Oreochromis niloticus: one gene and its partners. The main gene of each other region encodes a partner of the protein of the gene in region 4 in a complex. Links are inferred from orthologs where the notes say so. Each region holds a gene or a part of one and is shown on either strand. Other genes may lie near its edges. The genes, in order: usp39, snip1, snrpd3l and snrnp200.

Region 1 (7,590 bases), about 6.8 Mb from region 4:
GACTAAGAACTGCATCTTAAGGCGTGCAGTCATTTTAAAGAATTTGAATAAGTAACAAATAAAACAAACAAATACCAAATTTCCCCTTGTGGGACAATTAAAGGATTATTCTATTCTATTCTATTCTATTCTATTCTATTCTATTCTAAATAAAGTTATAAAACAAGCAAGAAACTCACCAAATCAGGGTGTGGGAGTTTTTTGGAGAAGATCCGCATGTAGCCTTGAAATGCTTTTGTAATGATTGCTATGAGGGGAGAAGGAAAAGAAAAGGGAGGTTTAGTGGCCTCAAATTGACGTGTAACGTGGAACTGATTTCTTCCACCTGCTCACACTGACTACAGATCACAATGTTGTCTGCAAACATCATAGTCCACAGAGCTTGTCCATCACACCGCACATTCGCAATATGATTTTGTGCAGAGACTGCAGATTCTGTATGAAACCCGAGGTTTGAGAATGAAAAAATAGAAATTTAATTAACCCTTAAAGTCATTAAGATGCTTTTAATATCACAACAGAAGGCTGTAGATAGACTACTGCATTAGAACCAAACAGCATCAGAGTCAAATCCACTTTGATTTTTCTTCCACTTACATGGCTTCTTCTTTGTGCCTCCAAGAGCACCATGCAGGGCATTTAAGAACCACGTCATGAAGTCCACAGCATCACCTGCAGAAGAGAAAAAACAATTAGTTAGCACCACAACCTGTGTTGAAAGCCTACCTGAGACCAGAAAGCACAATTTAGTGAATGTAAAGTAATACCTTGCTTTGTAATCTGGAAGTTCTTTTTGCTGCACAACACTACAGCCTGCAACATCTCGTGGGGTGACACATGGGCCTTAAAGTTTCTTGGATTCCAGAGTTTGCGCATCAGCTCACCAAACCTCTGCACCAAGAGAAACATGATGTCTCCTGGGGGCCTGCGGATTCCTCTGTAGTTTTCCTCCTCCAGGAAGTAATTTCGCAAAGGTGGAACATTAGAAAAAGCCTTGAAAAGAGAGACACAAATGAGAAGGGAGGATATTATTCCGAAAATTTACAACAATTAATAAAATCTAGAGTGGCAGATATCCATACCTGTAACACCACATTGGCATAGTCATTGGCTTTGATGTTGTTGAGCCCTACAATGCCCGGTAAGTAGGTGGTACCGTCATAGGCTCTGTACAGTTTACCCTGCTTGTCCAGCCCTGCAATGTGCTGCTTGGTGAAAGTTGGCTTCAGCACGTACTATAGAGAGAAGAAATGTAAGCAAATCAGCTGTTTGCGGTAACTGATACAAAGCCAGAGCTCAGAAATAATGACAAAATCAAACAGAACATGGTTATTATCATATCAGACTGAAAACACTGGTGCTTCTTCAGTCAATCCAGTCACAATTCAGACTGGAAGATATTTATTCACTCAATTCAGCTTAAAAAAAAAGTCACTAAAGTCAAAATAATTTGAATGTTACCTAACCTTTAGCATAGATATACATTTTACACTGTTGATTCTTTTTCTTCTTTCGGCTGCTCCTATTAGGTGGCATCAAAGCGGTTCATCTACCTCTTCTCATTACAGCCCAGTATATTCCTTATCCCTCCTCTGCACATGTCCAAACCACCCTCAGACTTGTCTCTAACTTTGCCTCTAAACTGCTCAACTTGAGCTGTCCCTCTGGTGTAGCTAATGCTGTCTATCCTGGTCACAGAGATTAGTGAATACGGTCCAGTGAGTCTAAATGCTCAAATTGCCTCCAGTCACCAGATCTCAATGCAATGGGATGTGATGAAACAGGAGCCACACATCATGGATGTGCAGCTGACAAATCTGCAGCAACTGTCTGACACTATCATGTCAAAATGGATCAATTTCTCTGAGGAATTATCAAACACCTTGTTGAATCTCTGCCATGAAGAATTAATAAGCAAGCTCTGAAGGTAAAAGGGGTCCAAACCTGTAGTACGGTAATAAGTTGTACCCCATAAAGTGGCCAGTGAGATTACATGAATTTTAGTTTTAGTATGAAAAACATTACTTACTGTGATATCTTCTAGTGATGAATCGATGATCTCATAGTTATCTGGCAGACAGTAAAACTTGAGTGTGTGCAGATTGAGGAACACATGATGGGTAAACTGTACGCTGTGAGTGTAAGCGTGGGACTTCAGACCTCTTCCTACAAAACACAAAACAAACCCCACACAAATCAGTACAAGTACAACAAGGTGTCTGATCCCCAGTTAAAATGTCCATTTGCCTACCTTGAAAGTATTTCCCACATATAAGGCAGGCGTAGACATTGATGTGGGAGAGAGAGATGGAGCACAGTTTCTCAAAGTCGAAGTCCAGCACACTCCTGCAGGATTGACACACAGACTTGAATTCACCTGCAGAGGTGGAATACAGCTTTAATAGCAATGCACAGTCTACTCCGACCTACCTGTTTATGGTGTCAAGGTAAGGACAGTGGCGGCTTCTTCGGTCTTCTACTGCATGTCCTCGTCCAACTTTTGCTGCCACTGCAACGTGAAGTGACCAAAGAAGAACAAATGTCAAGCTAAACCATGTACCAACAGTTCAAAGCAATGAGCTAAACATGCTAACTAGCTTAGCTTTGAGGTTGTGAGGTATGCTTGTTTTCAAACACTGGGTGCTTTAAGATGAGGGGTATCGTTTTGTTAAGCACATGGTAGAGGCACTTATTGCTCCGTCTATGCGTTACTGGACAGGCCAGTAAAAAAACCAACGCACCACTGGCTAACAACAACGCTAACTGCTAACCAAACGCAGGGCATACGTTTGAGGAATATACTTACCTCCGTCTTCATTGTCATCATCATCATCTAAATCCACCTCTCTTTCTCGCTTCAAAGAAACCATAGCAGCAGATAGACGGCGTCAAAACAATTTAGAAGCTAAACCTTTACGTTATTTGGAGAGAGTGATGAATGGCTCAAGCACTGTGCGCCTCGAAACTCGCGGCGATTGTGCCTTGTAGCTGTCGAGTAGCAAACTAAAACCTAACCCGGAGTTTGAAAACCTACTAACGCTATACCCACCCTTAGTCACTTACCAAAAACTAATATGATAACTTGCCAAATTCTAAAGTATAACTGGATCTTTGTTTGTTTTAAATATATATACAGGTTTGTCATATTTGGGTATTTGTTTATGGTGCGCAATTTAGTTATAATCATTATTTATTAACTCAGGGAGCATTATAATTGGACAACATGTTATCGTTAGCTAGCCTTAGCTATATAGCTTTTTGACCGTTCACAGTGCTCTGATTGGGACTTGTTGCAGTCAGCAGTGCATAAACACTGACGTCGTTTGGAAGCGGTTTGCTGAAATGGATGTTTTAAGAGAAGAGGGGGTCCATGAGCTGAAATACAAACCAGGTGGTCGCTTGGATATGAGCCACGGCTTCCTGCACCATATCCGGAGGAACCAGATTGCTAGGTGAGTTCCTCAGCTGCTATTAGCTTATGCTAGTAGGTAGTACACTAGGTCATTCAGTTAAAAACATCATCGTTATTATTATTAGTGAAAAATAATTTTACGATTAAGTAAATATTATCTTGTTATTAACACACACGCTTTTACATTCGGAGCTAAAATATATGGGGAGGTCGCAGAGGCCTGGTGACCAGTTCTCTTTGATTTAAGATACTGAGGAGCAAAATGATAAACAACTGCATACTGGAAAAAACTGAGTTCAATCAGTGCGCGCATCTGTTAACAGGGGGATCATTTTAACTTGTTTTTGACAGAAAATACGACAGACCCCAAAAATACTAGGAGAAAAATTAAACACATCACATAATGTTTTTGTTTGTAGGTTTCTTTGAAATGCATTTCAGTAAAGCAAGTAAACCTGGCACAAAAAGTAAAGAAAATCTTTGTTTGGCTTTTGAAAATAAGTGATATTTCACTGGAAAGTCTGTTTGTGTTATTTTAAATTGTGTCACTTGTTGGTTGTGCCCATGACAAAACCTGGAAAATCTTATCTGCGAATCCCAAACAGTTTTTTTTCTGCTACTGACTTTTGTTTTGAGATTCTGATATCCCGGATACAGACAGGTGTCTGATTGTTGGATTAGCACCACCTGTAATTGTGGACCTTACAGGGCACGTGCCAATAGGGCAACTTCAAGCTGGTGTAGTCCCTTATCCAAATCAAAGGCCAAGTTTTATTTGATGCGGGATGTCAGACAGGCCACGAAATGGGCATCCCAAGAAGACGACGCCATAAGAAGACTGTTTCTTCACCCTGTCAGCACTTTGGAACAGAAGTCAGTCTTCTGTAGATTTGCAGTCAAGGTTTGCAGAACAGTATCACTGACTGTGCTCTACCCAGAAAATCCAGAACAGACTGCACAGGCCAATCTCCGGTGTCATAGGGCTGCCAGGAGGCCTGCCATGACTGCTGTTCACCATCAGGCACATTTGTGCTGCTGTTGGCAACATGTGCACTGGGAAACTGTGCTGATTGCTGCACCGATAGGATAGCAGCTTTTGGTGGAGGCAGTGTTATAACGTGGGGCGGCATCTCCTTCAGTGGAAAAACGAGGCTTGCCAAAATTTGAGTCAATCTCAATGCAAGAGATACTGAGACGAGATTCTGCAAATGGTGGCAATCCCATAACTCCACAGTCTAGGAGGGAACTCTATCCTCAAAGATGACAATGCTCACCACAACAGAGCGGACCACCTCAGGTCCAGTTTTTGGGAGTGGAGAGGATGGAACGTCCTACCTGAAGTCCTGACCCCGTTGAACGGTTATGTGATCAGCTTGGATGTGGACCAAGCCGGTGACCAGCATAGAAGGTGCCAAGCTGTTGAGTCTGCGTATGGTTCCACGTGCTGCATAGGCCCATATTTCTTGAAATAAAAAATTGCTAAAAAAAAAAAATTTAAGACCTAAATCATCCAGTTCAATAGGCAACACCAAAGAAGAGTCAATAGCAGAATAAGGCTCTTTGGTATTGGCAGAGAAGATTTAGCAACTTTTTCATGGGCGCAACCCCCATACTCACCTCTGCTGCTCATCCCATTCATTTGTTAGGAAAAATGCATTTTTCCTGAGAAATGTGGGACTACTGAAGGGGAAATAAAAAGGCTTTCCAACGGTATGAGATTTATTCGCAAGATGCATCGTTACAAGAAAGAAATAATGGACCTTACTTTTTGTGCCAAATTTACATAGGCACGACTTACTTTCATAATGCATTTTCTGAACTATACAACAAACTGTTAGAAATGTGCATAAATGCATATGTAGGCATGAATATCATGCCAGTTCAAAGAAAATCCGCAAATTACATTGATGGCCTGTATGTAAGCTTCTCACCACTGTCTGAAGACTGGCTGACTGGTAAAAAGGAGTATTTTCTGTCAGTGTCTTTCAATTTTATTTAAAATGATGACATCTGTATACAGTGGTTAGTCAAGTCAAAAATCACAATATAAAAAACAGTGTCACTCCATTAATGCTTGTCCAGCCCTTCAATGTGTTAATTTTATTTTTTATTTATTTATTTGGATTTATTTGTTTGTCACATTTTCTGCATTAACTAAATTTTGATTCCCTTTCTCAAGAGATGACTATGATAAAGAGGTGAAGCAAGCCAAAGAGCTTCAGCGGCGGAGACACACCACAACCCCTCGAAGACCCCGTCGACCTGACATGCAAGTGTACCATCCTCGAAGAAGACGTAAGACTGATGTGCTTTCTCTTGACTTTTGTGCTGATAGTGCACCCATTAGCGGGAAGATAAAGTGTTTGTGTGTGTGCATGCGCTCATTATTCAGATGGTTCAGAGCCAGGGGCCGGTGCTGATGCTGAAGAAAACGAGAGTGGATCAAGCACAGAGACTGACGCCAGTGGGACTGAACTCTTTTGGCTTGAATATGAAGCTGATTCTGGTACCATTACATCCATCCTTGTGCACAAGGTTAATGCCGATTCCTTTTTATGATGTTTTCATAAAAATGTTTTCTTTGGTCATTTCCTGTGTGTAATTCCTTTAAATGCCTTTTGTTTCTGAAGGAGGACAAGCCTGAGAAGGTGGTAGAACGTGTTGCAGAGAAGAACATCCTGGATGCAGCCATGAGGGCAGCTCTGAAGGTTCGAATTCGAAAAGAAATTGACAAAAGGCGAGACAAACGCTGAGCAATCATCAGATTACGACCATAAAGGAGCTCCACGCAAAGAGGAGGAACACTTCGTTTGCAGTTCTGCACTCCTCCAGAGCACTCTTGTGCATTAAGGGTATAAGAAGGATCATTTAGAGTGACTGTCAGCAGAGATCTAACATGGTGACTTATATTCAGGCCATTTTTTTTCTTTTGTAAGAAGGAAGAGCACAGTTTATGGCTGGGAGTTGTTTTCAGGTTCAATTGCAATTCTTGACCTTGGACAGTTGTGCTATTCTCTGATTCACATATTGGGGACACGTTTAAGTTGACTGGACATTTTTAAAATTGTTACTTTTTAATAGTTACATTCAGAAGGAGCAGGTACTCTTCTGCACAGAGCCCTAAAAGCGTTGTCCTCCATGTCCTGTGATTCTTGTGTTTACAAAGATTCTGTTTGTTAAATTAAGATTTGAACTCCTTGTGTGAAGCGTTTTCAGCTGATCATCGGTCTGTCTGTCATCGGTCTGTCAGCAATCCTGTGTTTAAGAAATGAGGGAAATTAGTTTTGAAGTCCGAGTCTAGTAGATGACCTTGTTGGGTTGGTAACTGTTCTGTAGGTTCCAGTGCTCCGATTTATTTTGGATTGTTGAGAGACTTATTTTTGATACTGTAATATCTTTTTGAGGATGACACTTTACATATAAAATGTATTAAAGCCATGCATTGCTGTCCAGTTTTATGGTGCTGAGCACCACTTTTTATTTTATTTTTTTTTTGTCTTATCTTATATGACATAGATTCTGATTTTTAAACATGAATATAATACTGGAACATAGAAAAATACTGCATCAGTTTGATTTGACAAATGTTTCACATCAAATTTTCAGCAGGTGGCAGCATCAGTCATACAACCACGCAGACCTCTGCTGTAGTTTTTCTCCTGTTTAAATCAGGTTTTATGCTGTACTTCTGTAAAAAGAATGCATTTTTCTACAGACACCTACTAAACAGTTTAGTTTCAATAAAAAGGGGCACTTTGAATTGTTCTAATATTTCCCCTCTTTTGACTTTTTGACTAAAATACTGTGAAGAACAGAGGGGCAACGAAGAATTAGGTGGCAAGTTGCTGTACATGGAGTAGCGCCTTGGGTTTGTATCCATTTCAGGATCTTTGTGCACTTCAGTCAGAGCTTCTCTGTCCTCTGCTTTGTCAGAAATCTCATATCTTATTGGGGCTGCTTGTCCAACAATGAATAATAGCCTCTATACCAGGGGTAGGGAACTCCAGGCCTCGAGAGCTGGTGTTCTGCAGGTTTTAGATCTCACCCTGGGTCAACACACCTGAATCAAATGATTAGTTCATTACCAGGCCTCTGGAGAACTTCAAGACATGTAGAGGAGGTCATTTAGCCATTTGAATCAGCTGTGTTGGATCAAGGAACCTGCAGGACGCCGGCTC
Region 2 (7,626 bases), on a different chromosome or scaffold from region 4:
AGATTTTGCTGTGCTGAGGAATAAAGGCGGTCCTATCAAGTATCGACTTTCAATAGTACAGAATTGTACAAACTGTTTTTGCCTTACTGTATGTTTGCATGTCTTTCAGTAAATTGTTGCACCCATTTTCCTAGCAAAATATAAAGAAATGAAGGGATACTCAAGACTATTGCAGAGTACTGTAATTAATAGGCTTAAATTATCATAAACAAATTATATTACCCACTATATAGTACCCACTTGTTAAATAATTATGGTGCCTATTGTCCTCCTTAAAACGGGACATTTTGTGATAGAAACAAAACGGACACCAGTTTGCTCCAATAAAACTCTTCAAAAATTTATTTACAGTACAAAAATGAAAATTTACTATGGGTTTCTATGAATGGGCAAAAATAAGAATGGTGCATACAGATTCCAGTAGTGCAAGGGAACACAACAGCGTTAATAATTTTTCCTGCACTACGAAGCAAAGACAAAAAAGGAAAAGGAAATATCTTTACATCTTGTACTGCAATGTTTACTCTGACAATAAAAATGCTCTTTAAACATGAATGTTGAGTTCACATTCCAATAATGTAATGTACACTGACACATATAGCATGGACATAGATGATTAGCTATGCTTTGCACTCAGTGCTATGGCGCAAAAAATATAGAATATATAACTATAGATTGGTGAGATATCTTTATCTGTCACTGAGCACATCTTAATGTAATGCGAGCACTGTCAGAAGTAAGATCCGTCATGTATCACATAGACATTATACAACCTGAGAAAAAGTCTTCTTTGAGACAGCTGTGGCAGGTTCAAGCAAGAGATCAGTAATTACAGAATATACACCACCAACAAATCCTGTTCCATTATTTCAATCAGTTCCCGCATTTACCAGTTCAAACTTATTGCTCCATTCCCTGCAGAAACAGTTGTTTGTCCTGTTGTTGTTGTTTTTGATGATGATGTTATCTAACCTGAATGAACTTAGGCAATCAAATAAGTGGGAACGATTTACTCATCAAGGCCCTCGTCTTCCTCTTCCTGCTTGGCATCCACCTCGCTTGTGTCTGAGAACTCGTGGAGCAGCACGTATTCACGGCTGCTGAAGCCAAACTTTAGGACATCTTTTTCTTTGAGTTCATAGTACCGCTGGGGGTCGATACGCTGGTTGTTCAGATAAGTGCCATTGCCAGAGCCAAGGTCAATAATGTAAGGCTTTACCCTCCGGCCCGTGGTGCCATCTGCCCGCGTAAACTCCACCAGTCTGCAGAAATGAAGACAGAATGGTGGACATGATCTATTTGCAAATGAGGATCATGATTAAAGAGTCATTCAACATATTGGACAACAACAATAGTAAATAGTAATCACCACAGATTGAGCACGTTTTTCAATCAAAAAGAAAACCAGAGTAAAAAAAAAATAAATAAAAATTTGATGATGACTGTTCTTCCTACCTGTACTGGAATACTGCATGTTGCTTGGAGCAGGATGGGTGATCAATCGGGATATCAGCAATTCTTCTCTGTCGCCCCAACAAATAGGCACTCTGTCTGTGAATATACATGACTGGAAGAGCCTCATCATTCTTGAAAGGGTACAGTCGCCATCGGCGCTTCGGAATCCGAGCCTCAGGCGGCTCGTTGTACTTGATCACCACTCCCCGAAATGTGTTTGTGTCTTCTGTGAGTGCCCCTGAAAGTTCGAAGTTTGGCTTCTCTTTCTCAGCAGGAGCAGCGCTTGCCTCATCACCCTCTTCTTCTGACCTCCCGAAGTCTCGCTCTTGGTTTTCTTCACGTCGCTGGCGATTTTCCCTGCGTCTCTCATCTTGCTGCTGTCGTTCAGCTTGTTGAGAGGCAAGAGCATTTCGCTCCCTATGCCTCTCTCCACCGCGCTCTCTCTCTCGTGGCCTATCTGATTCCCACCTACTCCGTCTGTCCTCTGGTTGCTCATTTCTTCTTCTTCTCTCGTCGCCGCTAGCTCTATGCTCATCCCGTTCCTGTGACATATATTTAGAGAATACTTACACAGTTACATTGTTGAGTAGTTAGTTATATTATACTCCATTACCCTTCAGTATGGAAAAGTGGGCTCTATTTTGTTTGACATATTGTCATTACTGCCAGATGCCTCTGAAAAACATTAAAATGGGACAACTGTAGCCCAATGTTGGGTCTCTACACAGAAAACATACTGCCTCAGACTGTTAGTACTATCTCAAAGTACTTGGGTTACACAAGCTTCTGTGTGATAAATTCCAGATGAGTACTTTATACCACCTAGATCACTTTACACTCCAGTGGTGCTGCTGAATTGCAAACCTGAAATGTTTCCCAATAATTTTGAAACTAATCACCCGCTTTACTCTGACATCCCCATGGTGAGGACTACGACTTCTCCTTTTTCTCGGAGATCTGCTGCTTCTTCTGGCGGGAGAGGTTTCCCTTCTACCTGGTGAACGGTCCCTCGTCCTTGCAGGTGACCTAAATGAAGAACACAAGAGAGTATTAAGCGACCGTTCACATGACATTTCTCACCGTTAAGATGCAACTAGTGGCCGTAGCTAGCCCAAGTAAGTACTACAGCGATATACTCGAAAAAACGGACTCTGTCACGGTTGTCAAGTTGATCAATATGACATATGTGGCAAAATTAAGGTGGTATGATAACTTTAGTGCACACACCGGCTCGTTCCTCCTCTCTGTGGACTGGAGTTGCCGGGGGATCTTGACCTGGAGCGGCGTGATCTCTGTGGCCTAGCAGGGCTCAGTTTCTCCTGCTTTATCTTTACTTCGGCTTCACGCTCCGGACTTTCTCTTCTCCTGTGCCGCTTCTCTTTGGCCATGCTTAAAATAATTCTCTCAAATCGACCGTTGTATAACCTAAAAAGCATACATTTTCAACCACACCACTGTATGTACAAAAAACAAAAGCCTCGGCATGTAACAAACTTCACCCGTTACGCCGAGATCACGCACTTCCGCTTCCTGAGGTTCACCGAGAATTAAGCTCCGCGTGTGTTCATGTTTCACGTTGGTTCCGACATGAGAAGCCGATCAGTTTATTTCCTGTACAGCCTAAATATTTTAGTGTATTGAAAAAGCTGGAATATTCTTTCATTATTTACATATTCGTTTAACACACATTACTTTTACTAGATGCAGCCTCTAAACACAATAAAAAAGGCATAGTAAAAGTTGCACAATGTGGTAAAAGCAAAACAACAACAACAACAACAAAATCACATGCCCTTGGGCTTTTTAAAATAATTTTTTTTTAAAAAAATACTGATAAAAATGTATTTATCTCAAAGGGAATTTATAAAAAAAAAAGTGTCACTAGCCTGTACTCGCTGAAGCTATGCGCTGATTCCGCTCGCACACATTAGAACGTAACGGACGCTGTTGCCAGGACAACCCAAACAATGAGCGTGAGCTTTCTGTAACTAAAGGCTAAACCAAGAAGTTTCCAGTTTTACTGTATAACTTTATTCTATCCCTCTATTGTAAACGACAATGATTCCTCCAGCTGACACGCTGTTGAAATACGACAATCCAGTTCTGGTCAACAAAAGCACAGACAGAAAATCACCAAAGGTGAGTTTATCAAGCCAGCCGTGTTTATGGCACAAATCTCAGGGATAGATTTGAGATTAATGTAAAAGTTATGCTATTCAAAATCCCGGCAGTCTGATTAAATCTTAAGATAATTATACTTACATCTACTAATATATTTGCATGCATATATAGTTACAAGGTGGTTCTGTAAGGTGTATTTTATAATAGATTTACGAAAATGTATCAGTCATTTAAAAAATCAAATCAGGGTAATAATATGTTTGTCTGATAGTTTATGAAACATCTGTCACTACAGGGACGCCCTTTGAAAGTAAGCCCTCAGCAGCCCATTGACTCTACACCTGTTCCACCACCTCCTAAACCAAAATCAGCCTCTACTGAGGCTACTAAGCAGGAAAATGAGGAGATCCTCAATTTAATCCTCCCACCCAGGTACAGTTTTTCCTATCTATAGCATGTTCTTCAGCAAGTTCAGAACTTTTCAAATTTTCCTCTTACAGGGAGTGGATGGAGGGAAACCAACTGTGGGTGCAGAAAGTATCCAGTACACCTTGTACAAGAACAGATGTGTTGCACCTAGAGGAACTCCTAGACACAAAACTCCAGGAAAGACAGGCCAGAGAAACCGGCATCTGCCCTGTCCGCAGGGCGCTCTATTCCCAGTGTTTTGGTAAGGAAGAAGCTGAGATGTTGCTGATTATAGAAGGTACAATCAATGCATATAAATACAATTAATCACATACGTTTTCTTGTCATTCTTTCTTTTGAGATGAATTAATCAGACAGGTAACCATCAACTGTGCTGAGAGGGGTATGCTATTGTGGCGGGTCAGAGATGAGATTCAAATGACCATTGCCGCCTACCAGACCGTCTATGAAAGCAGCATAGCTTACGGCATGAGAAAGACACTGCAGGCTAAGAAGGGCAAAGCTGATATGAAAAACAGAGTAAGGATATCATGTTCCTTATGAGTTACAAATACAGGGTCACAAAATATATATACATTTTAATACTAGGCAATTTATAGATGATGGGAAATTTACTTTGCCATTCATGTAGTTCAGCTGTCATTTAGCTAGGAGTCCAGCAGAGAGCACCATTTCTCTATTTTACAGTTACTGTACAATGACAGTGGCTGCAGTGCTCTTTACAGGATTGACCCCGCATCAATAACAAACTCACAAGTATGCTTTGGTATACGGGCAGATTTTGGAGCTAGAGAACGAGAAACAAGAACTGAAGAAGGCGCTGAATGAAGAGAAGGCTAAATGTGAAACAGTTGAGAAGATAGAAGCTGAAAAACGACAGCTGGAAGAAAAGAGGCACAATGAGGAGATCCAGCTCCTAAAGAGAACCAACCAACAGCTTAAGGTGACTTTTTCAATTACACATCAGAGAATAATTATTGTAGATTGTATTGTCTAAAGATTTCTTAACCACCCATCTTTTCTTTTCAGGCCCAACTGGAAGAGATAATTGCACCAAGGAAGTAAAAAAAAAAAACCCCAAAACTTAGCTGGCATTTCTCTGTACAAGATTGTATTCATTTATAATTCATCTTATTGCTTAATGATACATTAAAGTAAAAACTTAGTGTAATTTACAAATGTTTTATTGTTCTGGCATAACAAGTACACTTCAAACAACTACTGCAGATTGCTCTTGAACGTCAAGAGAGCAGTACACTTGTAAATGATGAATGAAATGTCATTCAAATACAGTTCTGCACTGAGGGGAAAAAGTTATAACAGTCATGAAGATAAGGCATCAAGTTGATTAAGACCACCTTAGTGTTCCACCTTCTGCCAACCTTTTTTTTTCCCCAATGAAAATAGCATCAGGCTAATTTAAATACAGATTTATTACATGTGTGTTTTATTTTATTTTATTTTATTCAACTCCAGTCTAGTGCTTCGATTTCTTGGTATTTTGACCTTCTGTGCCTGATGCTGGGATTTTTTTGTTCTTGTTCTTGTTCTTCACATTGTGAGTTTCATAATAACGCACGCCAACTTTCTTCGTCCTCTGAGCACGATCCATTGCTCTTCTCTGTAGAGAAAGATAAAAGAGAAATAGAAGGAAAAAAAAAGTGAAATCTTCTTCTAAAAAAGACCAGAGCTTTTCATTTCCAATGTTACATCAGTAAGAAGAACATTCACCAGAGAAATCTGGCCTGTTTGACATCAGAGAGAACAAACACTGCATACCTGTTTAGACGTGAGTCTGTTCGGCTGGGCCAGGTCCTCACCCTCCTCAGCTTTCCTCTTCTTACCCCTCTGGTTTGGAGCTGAATTCAAAGAAAGATGAACAGATCTGATGTCACTGCCTGAATGTTAACTTGACGTACTCATTCAAATATAAAGTTTGTGCAAAATATCATGTTGATAAATATCAGTAATTGATTATTCTGTTGGAACTGCAGAAGGTTTATTGGACCTTAACCACATCTGATAAAGACTTTCCCAAATTATTTTTACATCCAGAACCATACAAAGTCATAACAAACAAGCTGACTGACTACCTTTCTTCTGTGCTTGCTTAGTCGCTGCTGACTGTTTAGTCTTGATGTCTGTGAACACTTTGTCAGAAAGCGCCTTAGGTATCCTGTCCAAAGAAATGGAAAAAAGTAAATCATTACAAAACAAGGCAAACAGTTTATCCCTGTTGGGGTCAGCTGAAATGAACAGTAATTAAATTAGGCTCAGATTAACTATACAGCGGTTACTTGACTTTGTTCTTCAGTGTGTGCTGAAATTCAACACAAGCATTAAAGAACACAAAAGACACAAAAGTTATGGCATCAAAACGATGACTGCTAGTCATCAGCGGCTTAAAGGCTGGTTAGCACGGACCACCTAAAATGCGTGGCATCTCTATGTCTGACAACTTCACATTACGTTACTGGAGGAAACACAATGGTGGCAGTACACAAGACAAAGAAAATATGCGAGTGAGGTTTGGGCTTGAGCAGACTGACCGGATTGCAGAGAAGCGATTGGATTTGGCTCGGTCCAGAAACTGCTTGTACTTGGCGATTTTCACATCCAGCTCACGTATGACCTCCCGTGAACTCTTGCTGCCGTTTGTCTTTTCAGTCTGAGAGGTTGTTGGCTCAGAGATGTCAGTCCCTTCATCAACTGGTTCAACACTGGTCGCATCTTCCTCTTTGCCTTCGTTTTCCTCTGTGCCCTCATCTTCCTCATCATCAGAGCCAGAAAAATCTGACATGTCCAGATCAGGCATGTCCACGGGAACTAAGTCTTCCTCGCTGAACTCTGGAGCTACACTGATTTTGCCAAAGTTTTGTCGGACATTAGCCAGAATCTTCTGGACCTGTTCCTTCTGTCTCTGCTGTTCTTCCTCACGTTCCTCTGAGATGGCGTCCGGATTGTCTGGCTGTTCCTTCTCCACATGCTCTACTACCTCCGACGGTCCTGCAACTGGCAGTGGCTTCTCATCCTAGCGAAAACACAGCAATAAAAACAGGTTTACACTGAGGGCACAGTTTGGTGCACTTAAAAAGCCCTAGAGAGAAATTCAGTGTAATCTTACCTCTTGATCTCCTTCAGGTCCAGGGGGTTTCACAAAGAAGGGGATACGTCCTCTCTGCCAGTCATTCAATACCATTTTAGAGACTGTGGCGAGATCTGGCTCACCGCCCTGTACAAAAACAAGAAGAGATTGCTAAGACATCTTAAGACTTAGTGATTTAAAGCTGAAGTAGGCAGCAATAAATAAATAAATTTAAAAAAATATATATCTAGTGTTTCAGAGGCAGCTGTAGCCCTGCAGCTCTTCTGGACTCTATTTTCAGACTTAAACATTTGGCAGTGAAAGGAGAGAGCCCAAGCAGAAAGAAAGTTTGGCGGTACAATCAGTTAAGCAGAGAGTTTCCATCTGGTAAATAAGAGCTCACCGTGTCCTATGTTGAGAATGAAGTGAATGTAACTTTTTTAAATGCATACACAGCACATACATAAGACCCAAGCTCATCTGAGAGGGAGGGCTGTTTATGTTTCAGTCCTGCCTTCTCTAGATTTCTGCCTATG
Region 3 (7,561 bases), on a different chromosome or scaffold from region 4:
ATGTTTGGCTGGAACACAGGTGGGGAAAACTTTTTGCCAGTTCACAGGTTGTTTCATGTTGTTCCATGTTTCACACAGCATCAATGAAAGGCATTGATGCTGTGTGAAACATGAAACAACCTTCCTTTACGTAGTCAAAATCATCCAGAGGAGGCGTTTTGATACAAACAAGCAAACATTATTCTTGTGTAAGGGAGGATGCCCCGCTTCCGTCTGTATATCTTCTTACTGCTTATTACAACAATTCTATTGCATTGTATAGTATAAATGGATAAATGCAACAACGATGTATTTCTAGAAAGGTCTCGTGTTCTTATTTGCACGGGCAGTGGCAAGAGAGACATGCATACATTTATTTATTTATGTTTTCATGTTTAAGTTACATATTTAAGCATGTTTAAGTGGTCCTAACTGCTGAGGAGATTGTTTAGGAAAACTGAACTGAAACCCTATAATTTTGCTTTTGGATGAAACTGGCAATAAATCACTGTTTTCTTTACACAGGTTGGAACTCCAATACCACTGCCACCAAAAGCCAAGGCTGCCCTGAAGGAATGACTCATTGCTTGTTTGAGGGAGTGGTTCCCCTTGACTATATGGTCTATTTCAATTTCTTTGGCTGCGTGTTGGTGCCCTTGGTGATAATGTTGGTCATCTATATCCATATCTTCATGGCAGCCCGCCGACAGCTTCGACTGATGAGCCTCAAAGTTGCACACGTACCTGCTCCCGGACAGAAAACTCCATCTTCTGGCTCATCTCGTTCGATTCTGCAGAAGGAAGTACACGCTGCAAAATCGCTGGCTATTATCGTTGGTTTGTTTGCTCTGTGCTGGCTTCCTGTGCATATTATCAATTGCATCAACCATATTTGCCAGGGCTGTGAGCGCCCACACATCTGGGTGATGAACATTGCAATCATTCTCTCCCATGCCAACTCTGTGGTGAATCCCCTTATCTACGCCTACCGCCTTCGAGAGTTCAGATATACCTTTCGCAAGATTCTCTATCAGCACATCCTGGGAAAGAGGGATGGGCATGTGTTCGGGGTTGAAAGTGCTGATGGCAGAGGTGTAAGGAGCACTAGTATCATGCAGACATCTGCCCGTACGAGTAAAGAGGATTTATCATGTGGCACAATGGTAAATAGTTATGTTCTCGAGTCCAGTGCTGAGAAAACTACATCAAATGCCTCTCATGAGAGTTTAGATTCTGTACCTAACAGTAATACACCCAACGGACACCAAAAAGCAACTGGCACCCCATCAGAAGTACAGCATCAGCCAGGTATCTTGGCATCTTCTGCACAGGAAGCAGCAGCGTCCGCCACATATCTGGGAGGAGCAACAGATATCTTGGAGTTGAAAGACAGAGGAAGCTGCATTACTTTTGTAAATGTACAGGCACTCCCCTTAAAACAGAATGACTGTTCCCTTTCTTCAAAAATCACAGAAATATCATGACAAAGACATTTAGTTATTTCAAATATATTGCTCTCAGAACACACAGAACGTTCTGCAAACGTGAAATTTCAGCAAATCAGCCTCGACAGCAAATCTGTTTTTTTATGTAAATTTTTTTTTTTTTAGTTTGGAGTTTCTTTTTGTTTTATGTGCACTTTAACGTTTAAAGATAATATACTTTTTGTAATGTGCAGGTTTTTGCTATCTGTGTTGTTTGCATGCCATCAAAATTAAACATCTTTAAATATGTCACAGTTTTGTGGTGTTTTTGTGCTGCAGCACTGAACTGAACTTTGTCACTCATCCAGGTTATGATACTCTGAAGAGCTTGAAAAGAGAAGAAAACTAGACTTCTTTAAGTTGTGAAGATGTTTCACCTCTCATCCAACAGGCTTCTCCTGTTCTAAAAACACCTTGGCTGAAGTGACCTCAATAGGTCACATGGCAGGATGTGTGGTAGACCATACTAGCCCCTAGTGTGGGTTGTCCACTTGGAGGTGGTTGTTGACCCAATATTGATCATGCGAGTCATCACATGAGCCAAAGTGTGAAAAAGATGTGGGTCATCGTCAGGGGTTATGGGGGAAACCACTCAGAGACTGTGCCCCACCCTATTATGTGACCTATTGAGATCATCTCAGGGAAGGTATGAGTAGGGGTTAAAGCACCTGGGAAGGGATCTCAAGACTGCATTGTAGGTGGCTGATAGCTAGTGTCGTAAGGCACCACCTCTGTTCAATGATGGTCATTCACAAGTGGCTGCTTGGTTTCTCCTTGATGCACTGCGCAGCATACGCTATGTTGCTCAGTTTGTTTTTGGGAGTTTGGTCCTTGAGATCAACCAGTTTTTCTCTAAGGGTGTTGCTGGGTCTGAAGTGCACTATAATATCATGGTTAGAAGAAATTCTCATGAGTTTCTCTAACAAACCTGCTACGAGATGGCAATAGAAGGCCTCCTTTACTCCTCCTATAAACCTGGCCTTATGTTTGGGAGTTTTGTTCTTAGAATGAACCAGTTTTTGTCTGAGGGTGTGGCTAGTCTGAAGTCTGAGGATCATCCACATACCTGTACCAGTAGCTAGGTGCAATCCCTCTGAGGAAGACCAGAGCTTTATTAGAGGTTGGCTACAATGGCTGAGGTTGGATAGAGGTTCCTGCCCGTGGCACATCTAGGATTTTTTCTGTAGAAAAACCTTTTTGTATTTAAAATATGTGGTATCCTATGTGGAGATGTCTAACAGTGTGCAAATCTGATGTGGGATGTAGCAGATTCTGTTGTGTAAGGAGCTGTAGTTGTTTTCTGACAGTCTCCACTTCCTCAGTTGTAGCTCTACAAGTGAGAAGTGTGATGACATCACAAGACTTACAACTAAAACTCTGTTTGTTTTGCTGCTGTTGTGATCAGCGATTTGATCAGTGCCAGGCAACACATGTTCACTGTTGTTTACGAACCATCCAAAACAAAGAGCTTGTTTGCCTGTACAGATATGACCCCATATGCCTGTATTGTAGATGCTTTCAGAGTAAGGCTTGCTTGCATCACACTATGAAAAGGACACACATACCTAGGTAAAGTACATACACATGACCACAGACCACTCTGTAAGAAATGTTTACAGAGCAGCCTGGCACTGACGCCAGTCAATGAGCCTAATGCAATGGAAATCAAATGATGGTTCATTTGATGGTGTCTTTTATTATCCCATAATGCTTTCCCTTCCCTCATTAAAAAGCTCTTCCACTGTGGCAAAGACCTACATTAACCAGTTTTTATGTGCCTTAAAGCAATCCCAGAGAGAGGTCTCCAGGAATACGGGTACGTATCTAACTTGCACTGTGTTTATTCATAAACTTAAACGTATGCATTGTAATCATGCAAGAGGGGAATTAAAATGGGTGAAACCATTTCATTTCAATGGTTTTTTTGTTGCATGTTATGATATTTTGATAAGCATGAGATAAGGGTTATCAAAATGATTTGGTTATGGATATTACATAGCTGAGTCATAAAAAATAACAAAGATAAGGGGCCATTGTGGTATGATGACCTGGAGGAAAACAATCCAGTGTGTCCCTCTATAGTGTGTCATGCTGCCATAAATTACACATGTGTGACACCGGCATGCAAAAGGATTAAGCTATCTTTTAGAAAGAAATGCAAATTAGCAGAAACTCGGTAACAAAAGATTTATTGCAGCAGAGACCACAGTGTTTATTTAAAGAGTCATACTCTGTGCATTCCCTCTCTGGCTGATGATTTCAGTCAGCCTCATAAATTACCCACCTCCACCAATGCACCGTGTAACCATTGCAAGTACTGCATCCTTTGTTCTACACCTCTGATGTTCTTCTTTTTAAACCCCTCAAACTTAAATTTGTTAGTACATTCTTTTTGTTGTTGTTGGGGTTTTTTTTTCAAATCTTAGTTCTTCTGATGTGACTTTTTCTTTGCAGCCTGGCTAAATGGGTCACCATCCTTACTGTTAATGTTGAAACTTGTGTTTTGGTGATTCTTGTATCACTTAAAAAAAGTTACCAGAGAATCTGAGAGCAAACTATTTCTCAAGCTGGAGACTCTGCTGAATCTATCCAGCTGCTCAGTTGTGCACCACGGCCTGCAGGGAGCTACTTTGATGCTGTTCTGTTCTGTGAATGGTAACTGTAAAAGTGTACTTTCGGGACGGAATTTCCCACATACGATAGCCTTTGTTACTTGTAATAATAACAGTATGACTAGATTCACAGATAGCTGATGAGAGACAGGCTAGAATATCTGCTCATTCTTTATTCTTTATTCCGATTCACACTAGTTGTCCCTTGGGTCTAAAGATAAAACAATACAAAACATCCAACCATCAAGAGACAATCAGTCAACACATTGGAAAAAAAATAACCCATCAAATAAAAAGAGAATAGTTCCTGCAACTTATATGACAAACAATGACATATTATGAAATAATAAAAAAATACAATAAATGGCATCTATCAAAGATCTACTGATGATCACTTGATGTATCATTTTTTTTCGCCAATCGGTGTATCCAAATTCCTTGTGAACCCGTAAAGCCATAAAAATACAGATCCCACAATGCACTGCAGAGCATCACAGGAAGCATTCGATTGAACCGCCGGTGCATTGTGGGAAGGCGGAAAAAGGGCTCAAAAGGTAGGGAACCGCGTCTGGCGCACGTTGCAACGTCAAAAGAAGAAGCAATAACAAAGAAACTAGCTTTTACGATAGACTCCAGGTAAGAAACAAAAATACTCGTAATTCAACTGAGACTGTAAATTTTTTCCATGCTCATTAGCAGCGTTGTTTGTTTCTTGTGCGTGTGAATCAAGCGCGTTCGTTCAGGAGCCAATATGGCTCCGTCTATTTGCCGAACTAATAACTTATTACTGCAATAAAGAGGCAAGTGTTAATGTTGAAATCGTATTTGTGTCATTTTAAGTTTAATTTGTTACACATGGCATTAATTGGGTTACATTATTGTATGCAACCAGGATATATTATTGTCCATTAGCCTAGCTCGCTAATGAAGGCTAATTCCTCTCGCAGCTTCGATATTCAATGATTTGACTGAGAGATTCGCTTTATTGATCAGAAGTTAACTGTAGCTTGCTCATCCCATCTTAACGAGGGTCACTGATTGTTATATATTAACTCCCAGCAACTCTTTAAACAGTATAAGAGAGCTGATTATCGTTACACAGGCAGTACTCGAGTGAAAAATAAATTGGCGAGGATAATGATGTGTGGACAAGTGAAATGGTTCCTGATTGCCTCTCTGGTGTTTCTGTAACTAAACGCATCGCAAAATTAACAAGCCAGTTAGCCATACAGTTTGGTTACAGTTAAGTGTGATGTTTGATGAAAAAAAAAAAAAAAAATGCGTTTCCAGGAGCTTACAGCCTGTGAATGTGCACAGTGTAACATTTCTTCTGCTAAATTTTGTTTTCCAGAAACATTCTTGAAAAATGTCCATCGGCGTTCCAATCAAGGTCCTGCATGAGGCAGAAGGCCACATTGTGACCTGTGAGACCAACACTGGAGAGGTTTACAGAGGCAAGCTGATCGAAGCAGAGGACAACATGAACTGCCAGGTCAGTACATGATAAAGAGTGGAAAGTGAATGTGGATGGTGCTCCTCCTTACGGGGGTCCCATCAACCAAACTGTTGGTACTGTATTGTTTTTATGATATTTTTTTTTTTTTTTTTTTCCTCCCTTAATTAGAGTAATCAACAGTTTAGTCTTTAATAGGCTGCTTGATCATTTGAACAAGTTTTGTTTACTTTATTTTCAGGTAAATGCCCCTAAATGGCTTAAGGTCTTGTAAGGCAACACCGATAGAAAAGCTTAATGAGGCTAAAAGGAATTGCATTACAAATAATAGTGTCTTTGTTCTCTGCGTCTCTCTGTTTTCCCTTTAGGTAAATGTAAAAGGACATCTGAATGTTCAGGTTCAATTTGTGGTGTTTTTATTTTAATTATAACATTTATTTCTAGTTTTTTGTTTATATTTATTTTTTTCCCCCGTAGTTGTTTAAAGGTTTCCAAGCTTTCCACCTGATGGTGTCAAAATAAGAGTGAATTGTGCTAATCAAGTACTGGAGACCTAGATCTGGTAGCTGCATTAGTAAGAGCCAGTTAATTAAAAATTGGTCCCAGATCAGATGGTAAAAATCTGTTCCTTTTATGGCTTTGTAAAGTTTAGATAACTACTGTTGACTTGAATAAAACACTAAAGAGCAGTTTGATTACATTTGTTGAAAGAATGATCTTTCTGTTTCTTACAGATGTCTAATATCACGGTGACTTATCGGGATGGCCGCGTGGCACAGCTGGAGCAAGTTTACATCCGTGGCAGCAAAATCCGCTTTCTGATTTTACCCGATATGTTAAAAAATGCTCCTATGCTGAAGAGTATGAAGAACAAGAACCAGGGATCTGGTGCAGGAAGGGGCAAGGCAGCTATTCTTAAAGCACAAGGTGGGTGAAAATTCGCAGTGGATTGATACACCTGTCAGTATGTTCAGTAGTGGGAGCAACTGATGGTGATTTAAACTCACTGCATGCATTGATTGCCTTTTTGTGTTTGTGCAGCATAACTAAATCCTACCATGAGAAAAGTGCTTTCTGTCAGTGTTGCTCTGTTCCTTGTGTAATAAGTACAGTCTTGTCATAGGTGCAGGGGATCTGTCAAAAACACTGACTTAAATGTTTCATTGTTGTTCAATTTGTCTTCACATCCCCTTTAAGATAGAGCTGATATTTTGCCAAGCGGGTGTTAAGGATACAAAATTAGACTTCACTGTACTTCTCAAAGTACTGAATGTATTATTAAGGTTACTGAACAGTTTTTCTGGTTCAGTGAGGTACTCTACATTAAAAACTGATAGTATGCCATCTTTGTTTTTTGTGCTCTCCAGTGGCTGCAAGAGGACGAGGGCGTGGTGGAATGGGAAGGGGAAACATCTTCCAGAAGAGGCGATAATTGCTCCAGCTATATTAACATTTTTGCATTGTATAGTTTTTGTTTCCCCCTTGAATTTGATATGTTGGATATCATTTGAAATCTTGTACTTTGCAGTCAGTTGCTTTAATTTCTTTTTTTTTATTAAAATAAAAGTTTTTCAATTTGATGTGTCCTGATGTTTTTGTTTTGTTTTTCTTCTCCCACTTACAAGAGATTCACTTGTGCCAACAGTCTTATTTCAAAACATCCAATATTTAATAAGGAATGTACTAGGAATGCGGTGTTTAGCTTTATCCAAGTAATTTCAGTGTTAAACCCTGGGTTTTCTGTACTATAAAAGGTTACCTGAGTATATTGCCATGTTGCCTTCTGCTGTGGACCAGATAAAATCGGGCCTAAAATCACCACATACTAACCAATCAATTCTTTGGAAATTAATTTTACTATTCCAGAGGAGTCCTTGGCCCTGTGCAGATGGCAGCATTTAAAGGATTTCAGCACCATCCAGTCTTTTTTCCGTAATGGGCATCAGTAGTAAGTACTGCATTGATTCTTAAATGCTACCTCTCTTGTGTTGGCTGCAGACCTTGTATAAAATGTGCATGTAGCCTAAGCCTAC
Region 4 (7,284 bases):
ACTCACAACAAGTAGTGTTCCTGACAGGATGATTTGTAGTTAATATATTGAAAGTGTTATATACCTCTCCATGGTCTATGTCCATTGCTTCCAAGTCATCGACACGGGACTTCCTCACTCTCTCCCTGCGAGACCGCTCTTCCTAAAGGACGTAAAAATAAATAATGTGACAAACTGAGCCTCACAAAGAGTTCACATAATCTCACAATCAAGCCTCCTTACTCGAATAATATCCTCCTTCTCCGTCTCTTGCAACTGGTAGAGAATCTTTGACAGCTCCTGATCAGACTCCATCTTTCCTATGATGCGCTCCTTTTCCGCCTCACTCTGAGCACTTGCCAGCATGGTACAGTACTGAACTGTGTGTCAAGGGAGAAGAGAAAGAAATCAGTACCTTTTCAAAGACATTAGCTCTGTAACAGTTTCACTCAACAAAGCAGACTTACTCATGCGACGATGCTGACGCAGGATTTTAATGAAATCAAAGGTGTTAAAGCCGAGGAGCAACACCAGCTGGTTCTCACACTCTCTGTCGTCGCTGGCAGTCTGTAAAATAAGAGACGAGAGAATGATGTTGACAAATACAAACTTACCTGCTCTAAACAAACAAAAACACAGGGAACGTCACAAACCTACCTTGAGGATTTCTAAGACCTCATCTGCCTTTTTTTGTGAGACGATGGCGTCATCATAGAACCGGCTGAGCTGACGCTGGAGCCAAAAGGCGTCGATGTCTCGAGGATGTAAATCTTTTTTCTTCACTGTCATCACGTCACCCGCACCACCGAGCTAAGTGAAAGGTAATTTATTAGTTACTGTGCAGCACAGTTGCAATATCTCACAAAGACTAAACACAAATATGGGCTTAATAGAGTAATGCCACGAATGGAAACTTACATTAGCTGAGAGAGTGGAATCCACAGCTGCCTCCACTCCTTCACTGTCTTCATCGGAGTGTTCATCTCGTACCTCGCCATACTGGTCTTCATCAACTTCCTGTATGTTAAGACAGGAAAAGTCAGTGACACAAACTAATCAATCAGCTCAGCTGTAAATCTTAAGAGCTACAAGCCTCACCTCCTCATCAGACTCAAACTGAACATTGACACCATACGTTTCATCAATGTTGTCATCTGTGGATAAAAAATACCACACATAATGAATATTTTTAGAGAAAACTGATGGATCCTGTACAGTTTTCATTCAACAGTTACTCTGAATGTGCCTACCCATATTCTGCAAGTCTTTGTCCCCCCCATAGTCTGTGATCTTTTTGCCCAGATTGACTAAGACGTGGTAGCGCGTGTCATCAGCAGGTCCGAGAAGCTGCTCTACTTCCCGTCGCCTCTCTTTGTCTCTCATTTTGTCATTCTTGAGCACAGCCAGAACTTCATCAGCTGCTCCACAGAGAATATCACGCGGCTGTAAAAACGTAATGAGATAATGAGTAAAACATGCAAGATGTAGCGGAAACAGAAGCAGAATACTTCAAGAAAGCAGCTGTTGTGGCGTTCACTGACCTGATCTCCCAAAGCAGCATGGATGAAGCTCAGTAACACCTCATATGTTTCTCTGGTCTCTTTGGTTTTTGGTTTGTACACAATGCCCACCATCTCATCAATGCCTTCAGACAGAAGGGTAAAGCCCTTCATTTTGTTAATGTCGTGTCTGTCTTCATCCCTTTTTCTTCTCCTGGATAAAAAATAAAAAAAAATAAAAGATGATATGTTAACAGTAGAGCCATGTTTGGCCATTTGAGTGGCAAACATCTTCCAAGGCATGTCACATATGTTCACTTTTTCTTTTTTTCTTGAGAATTGCCTTGAAGAGACATCAAACTTGACAGCTGTTCTTCCCCATACTTTTATTTTCAGTTTTTCAAAATTAAGTTATCACGTGGAACTAATGAAGTGATTTTTAATACCGGATTATTTTGTTCTTTTTTTAAATCAACCGGTTTTGCCTTCAAACCATAGATTCGACGAGTTAAAGCCTATATTTCTCAGAGAGTTGGGGCCACACTGACATGACAGCATCGCACAGTAGCTGCAGATTTGACAACTGCACGTCATCCATAATGCAAATCTCCTGTTCCTCCACATCCCAGAGGTGCTCTATTGGACTGACATGTTTAAGAAACCAGTTTAAGACTATTTGAGCTTTGTGACATAGTGCGTTATCCTGCTATAAACAGCTGTCAGATGAGGGGTACACTGGAATCATAATGGGATGCTTAAACAAAAAGATCCCCTACACTATTAGACCACCAGCAGTCTATCCTGCCTTCTTGCATTCATGTTGCTTATCCCAAATACTACCATCCATTTATGTTGTGCATTCAGAGATGCTTTTCTGCATACTCAGACATGATCAAAGTCAACCCACCTTTCTTGTTCATTCTGATATGCAGATTGACCATGCCTAAATGCTTAAATGCACTGAGTTGCTGGCATGTAATTAGCTATTGCACATTTGCATTAATGACAAGGGGAACAGGAACATCAGAGTGGCCGGTAGTGTATATAAATTATGTATTGCTTTAAGTTCACATGAACAATATATGTAGCTGTCTGCACTGACTTTTCTCGTCTCTCCTCCAGCCTCTGAGGTTTGGTCCTCTGGGCCTTGTCACCCATCTTGGTCCCCTCCAGCTTCCCGACCAAGGACAACACCTCACCGGTGGGCTCATCTCTCCGGGTGCGGTCGATCAGAGAGCGATCGGCTTGAAGCACCAAGTTAGAGTTCTAAGAGTTCGGCATAAAAACAGTGTGATGATGAGACAGTACATCAGTCTGCGCTGCAACAGGCTGAAGTAAATGCTAGTTAGCAGTACGGCTAGCTAAACAAGGATAAATATCAATTAATAACAGTACACACCAAACACTTTTCCTGATAACTTTACAGAATAACAATCCCTGCCTCTGATTTTTTATTTTTTTGTCTCACTCTAAACACACTCACCGCTTTGTACTCGTACTGCAAGCTTCGAGCAGTAACATCCGCCATGGTGCTGGTTTTCCCTCAGGTTTTAGCGCACTTTGTGAAACGGCTAACTGACTGTTAATATCCACAGAGTCGACCTCACTCTGCCTGCTTAAAGAGACGCTGTGAACATGAGTGCACTGATTACACTTGTAGCATTAGCCAGTTTTCGAAAAGTCCGAGTTTCATACAACAAAATGCGTTTCGCATACGTTACAATAGCGCCGCTAACACGAGCGCACAACAAGCCGCGCTTTTCCTCTTCCGCTGTCAAAGGTCAGAGCAGGATCATCGATGCAAAGGAGCAGCGCCCCCTACAGGTTGGATTTATTTAGTTTCAATGTCCTATTGTTATGTCAATGTATTCATGGGTATATAAACTTATGTAAACTCGCCAAATCTCCTCTGCTAGCGGCTTATTCTGCTACTGACTCTTTTTTTTAGCTTCTGGTACCCCAGAATCAGGTGTTGACAATTAGACCCTGATTAGCAGCACCTGTGAGCATGGACCCTGTTACAGCGGTCAGTTGGTGTCTGCTCCAAGCATGGCACATTTGACTGATCTGGATAGGGCCTGTGCCATAGAGCAACTTTAAGCTGGTGTCCCAGTTGTAGCATTATCTGGAGTGAGCCCTTGTACCATCTCCAAATTGAAGGCCAAGTTCCATATAATGGAGCATGTCAGAGACAGGCAAAGAAATGGGCATCTGAAGAAGACAACGGCACAAGACAATTTTGTTGTAGCACTTAGGAACTGTTGGCGCTATTCTTTAGATTTGCAGTCATGGTTTGCAGGACAATATGGTTGACAACACTTTACCCAGAAAATCAGAAGACAGGCAATCTCTGGTCTCATAGTGCTGCCAGGAGGATGCCATGACTGCCCTTCACCGTCAGGCCTGTTGTCAGCGACACGTGGAGGAATGTTCTCTTCAGCGATGAGTCCAGATTCTGCCTATGCCACTTGGATCATAAATTTAAAGAGAATGCTATGCTCATTTCTGCACCATAGCGTAACAGACCTATCATCATAGAGGCAATCATCATAGAGATATTAAGATGAGATTACGCAACCAGTGGCAATCCCATATCTCCACAGTCTGGGATCAAACTCTATCCTCCAAGATGACAACCCATGCCATTATCAGAGATTGCCTCGAGAATTTGGGAGTGGAGAGGATGGAATGGCCTGCCTGCAGTCCTGATATCAGCCCCATTGAACACTTGTGGGATCAGCTTTGGGTGCTCTCTTCATGCCAAAATGACCAACACAACCACAATCGCCTAACTTGCAACAGATGCTGGTTGAAGAATGAGACACCATCCCACAACAGAGTACATTGTTTGGCACTGGCGGAGAAGATTTGGCAAGTTTTTCATGGGTGCAACCCACATGCTCAACTCTGATGCTCAACCCACAAATACATTTTCCTTACAAATGTGGCACCATTTAAGGAGAAATAAACAGGCCTTCTACTGATATGAGTTATTGCTAAGACGCATTGTAACAACAAAGAGACAAACACACTTTTTGTGCTAACTTCATTATATTGTCTATCATGCTTACATTATGTAAAATTGGAATAATTTCATAAGAACAACAAAACTTGCCATCCTGTAGTGTCTTCAGGACTTACACAGCAGCCATGTAGTGTTAATACTACTAAAAATAATGCCCCTGTCACTATCACTACTAAAACTAAAAGTAATTATTATTATTATTACTGCTATTGTGTATCAGATACAGTATGCTGATTTACCATAGTAGACATCTGTACCATCACTTGCACAGTATAGTACTACTTAATGTAATAGCCCATTGATAAATACCATACTACTGTACATGCTGAAAGTCTGCATAAAGTTATCTGTGGAATCACTATACCAGCCAAACTTAGCTGTAGACCAATCTGCAGATGAGACACTTTCCTGTGGCACTGGCTGATGTTTATTTGTTTGGTCACATCAATTTGGCAGTGGCTAAGTGTTCAATGACAGTGACAAGGAGCCAACAGACTTTTAAACAGACAAGGCAGTTTTATTAAATTAAAACTTCTTTGTTTCCCTGGCACAAAATAGGGGAAAGGAAATTATAAAAAAAATGTGATTGATTCATATCAGTATTTGCTTTCACTAAATTGTTTCTTTAAACATCATAGATTACATATATTATAGATCCAGGATTGGGACATCTCTAGTCCTGTGTGTTATGCTGTATTTCATTTTTATTCACAGAGGGCAACACAGCGTGTAGCTCCACAAATAGGGGGCAAGTGAGGGTGGCTGTGGTTCAGGAATTAGAGCAGGGCAACTGCCGGATCGATTCCCTGCCTCCTCCAGTCTGCATGTCAAAGCATCCTTGGGCAAGATACTGAACCCTGAGTTCCCCCTTATGCATCCATCAGAGAGCAAGTGTGTGAACAAATTTCACAATGGATAAGTCCATGTTTGATTTGGGATTTGTGTCTACTTCTCATCTAAAAAAATTGAAAACGAAGCTACAACAAAAATTAGAGACTGTTCATAAATGAACAAACTTACAAATTCAGGAGAGGATCACATAATTATTTCCCCCATGTACATTATCTTCTAAGCTGCATGACGAGCTGATGCAAGATAAAGCTTTGAACCCCACACAGGAGACACCACTGTAAAGAGTGGGGTTAAAGTGTGGATGTCCTTTGGGTTCACTCCACTCTAAAGAGTAGTCGTTCTGCACCTTGGGGCGGTGGCTTAAGAGTTGGGAGTTCGCCTTGTAATCGGAAGGTTGCCGGTTCGAGCCCTGGCTTGGACAGTCTCGGTCGTTGTGTCGTTGGGCAAGACACTTCACCCGTTGCCTACTGGTGGTGGTCAGAGGGCCCGGTGGCGCCAGTGTCCGGCAGCCTCGCCTCTGTCAGTGCGCCCCAGGGTGGCTGTGGCTACAATGCAGCTTGCCATCACCAGTGTGTGCGCGAATGGGTGGATGACTGGTTGTGTAAAGCGCTATACAAATACAGGCCATTTTACCATTTACCTTGAACAGTGTGAGATCAATTATTTCTTGGTGTAAATAAACGTCAGATTTATGAAGTGCAAAAAGAAGCATGTACAAGAACTTTTCTTCAGGAACTCATATGTTAGTCTTTGACTGTCATTTTGATCTAAATTAAAATTGCTAAATGAGAAAGATGAGCCTCATTGTGGACAATATAAGCTGCACTGTGAACTCTATGATTAGCAGCGTGGGCCACAGTCTGTGAGCTACAACATCCAAAATTTAATATTTAAAAATATAAAAAAATTACAATTCCGTGTAGGTATGACAATGATTAATGAAGAGCTGTCCAGGTTGGATTTTCAGGTACCTCTGAGGTTATTATCATCCCACATAACATTTTTTTCCATCAACCACCAATATTCTTCTAAAATCTGTTTTTATACATGACATACATGCATTTTAACTGTACAGCCACATATTTGTAAAGCTTTTAGTGCCCTAATACAATTTTTTTTAAACACACTGTTCAGTTTTTGATGAAAAAAAATAAGCTGTTTTTTTAAAAGATTCTCTCTTCTTTTTTTTTTTGCTGATTTCACTACTTTTCCCTGAAGCACTTGACTCATTTGCCAATAAAAGCATTTATTCAACTGTTATGTACATGTTAGTCATAAACATGTGTTTTGGTATGATGTAATAATGGTGTGTGATTCATATCGGGTAAACGAGTGCTTTGAAAATGTGTGGTAAATGGGTTGCACTTACACAGCTCTCACACCCAGATGGCAGCAGTGAGAGCAGTTGTCTTTCTCCACGACACGTTGACTTGTCAGACAACTCTATCACAGTCCCCTCAAACACCTAAGTTCCCAATATATGTATATCATTTTGCTGTGTATGAGAATATTCCACAGTTATGGATGTAAAAAGGGTAGTGAGTGGATGTCTCATATGTGCTTATGTGTCCATTCAATGTAAGTTGTTATCTTGACCCAACACGAGCTGCAAGGATCAAACAGGATTTATTGTAGAAAGTGTGTGAAAAGAAAAGGAGTAAGATGAACTTGACTTTAGTTTCACTGTTGTTGTTTTTTACTGGAAAGTACTTTGGTCAACCATGTTGTTTTTAAAGTGCTCTATAAATAAAGTTGGATTGGATTGTTGTCTTTAAAGAGGAGAGTACTGTATGTTCCTGTTTGTGGCCCCATATAACTTCCATTGCCTTTGCACATCTGGCTACAGCATCTGTCACTTTCCACTAGTCGGAGTCTCTGAGGCCACCGAGGCCTCGGTCACACCCAATGACAGACAAATAGGGAGAGGAT

The links.
Region 1: snrnp200 (region 4) and usp39 share a complex: the UniProt entries of both Homo sapiens proteins name them as parts of the U4/U6-U5 tri-snRNP complex. The link is inferred for Oreochromis niloticus from reciprocal best matches to the Homo sapiens genes SNRNP200 and USP39.
Region 2: snrnp200 (region 4) and snip1 share a complex: the UniProt entries of both Homo sapiens proteins name them as parts of the minor spliceosome. The link is inferred for Oreochromis niloticus from reciprocal best matches to the Homo sapiens genes SNRNP200 and SNIP1.
Region 3: snrnp200 (region 4) and snrpd3l share a complex: the UniProt entries of both Homo sapiens proteins name them as parts of the U4/U6-U5 tri-snRNP complex. The link is inferred for Oreochromis niloticus from reciprocal best matches to the Homo sapiens genes SNRNP200 and SNRPD3.

What each region holds. Positions count from the first base shown.
Region 1 is NC_031977.2:19,023,281-19,030,870, forward strand, and holds the start of usp39 (ubiquitin carboxyl-terminal hydrolase 39), read right to left. Parts: upstream 3,010-7,590; 5' UTR 2,871-3,009; coding exon 2,807-2,870; intron 2,510-2,806; coding exon 2,431-2,509; intron 2,347-2,430; coding exon 2,252-2,346; intron 2,167-2,251; coding exon 2,030-2,166; intron 1,236-2,029; coding exon 1,083-1,235; intron 994-1,082; coding exon 768-993; intron 673-767; coding exon 598-672; intron 248-597; coding exon 180-247; intron 1-179. Other genes in the region: lg12h2orf68 (UPF0561 protein C2orf68 homolog), read left to right, coding at 3,343-3,452, 5,592-5,707, 5,805-5,947, 6,043-6,165.
Region 2 is NC_031976.2:27,045,081-27,052,706, forward strand, and holds snip1 (smad nuclear-interacting protein 1), read right to left. Parts: upstream 3,017-7,626; 5' UTR 2,892-3,016; coding exon 2,683-2,891; intron 2,482-2,682; coding exon 2,355-2,481; intron 1,998-2,354; coding exon 1,456-1,997; intron 1,263-1,455; coding exon 1,010-1,262; 3' UTR 320-1,009; downstream 1-319. Other genes in the region: dnali1 (axonemal dynein light intermediate polypeptide 1), read left to right, coding at 3,514-3,594, 3,872-4,008, 4,077-4,246, 4,346-4,524, 4,784-4,948, 5,035-5,070; gnl2 (nucleolar GTP-binding protein 2), read right to left, coding at 5,483-5,626, 5,785-5,864, 6,099-6,181, 6,555-7,036, 7,130-7,237. UniProt on the Homo sapiens protein: Required for pre-mRNA splicing as component of the spliceosome. As a component of the minor spliceosome, involved in the splicing of U12-type introns in pre-mRNAs. Down-regulates NF-kappa-B signaling by competing with RELA for CREBBP/EP300 binding.
Region 3 is NC_031972.2:24,898,315-24,905,875, forward strand, and holds snrpd3l (small nuclear ribonucleoprotein D3 polypeptide, like), read left to right. Parts: upstream 1-4,553; 5' UTR 4,554-4,711; intron 4,712-5,426; 5' UTR 5,427-5,441; coding exon 5,442-5,567; intron 5,568-6,262; coding exon 6,263-6,455; intron 6,456-6,895; coding exon 6,896-6,960; 3' UTR 6,961-7,108; downstream 7,109-7,561. Other genes in the region: adora2ab (adenosine A2a receptor b), read left to right, coding at 1-19, 505-1,463. UniProt on the Homo sapiens protein: Plays a role in pre-mRNA splicing as a core component of the spliceosomal U1, U2, U4 and U5 small nuclear ribonucleoproteins (snRNPs), the building blocks of the spliceosome.
Region 4 is NC_031977.2:12,273,146-12,280,429, reverse strand, and holds the start of snrnp200 (U5 small nuclear ribonucleoprotein 200 kDa helicase), read right to left. Parts: upstream 3,007-7,284; coding exon 2,962-3,006; intron 2,745-2,961; coding exon 2,581-2,744; intron 1,693-2,580; coding exon 1,521-1,692; intron 1,423-1,520; coding exon 1,230-1,422; intron 1,134-1,229; coding exon 1,078-1,133; intron 997-1,077; coding exon 898-996; intron 790-897; coding exon 637-789; intron 547-636; coding exon 447-546; intron 360-446; coding exon 223-359; intron 143-222; coding exon 65-142; intron 1-64. UniProt on the Homo sapiens protein: Catalyzes the ATP-dependent unwinding of U4/U6 RNA duplices, an essential step in the assembly of a catalytically active spliceosome. Plays a role in pre-mRNA splicing as a core component of precatalytic, catalytic and postcatalytic spliceosomal complexes.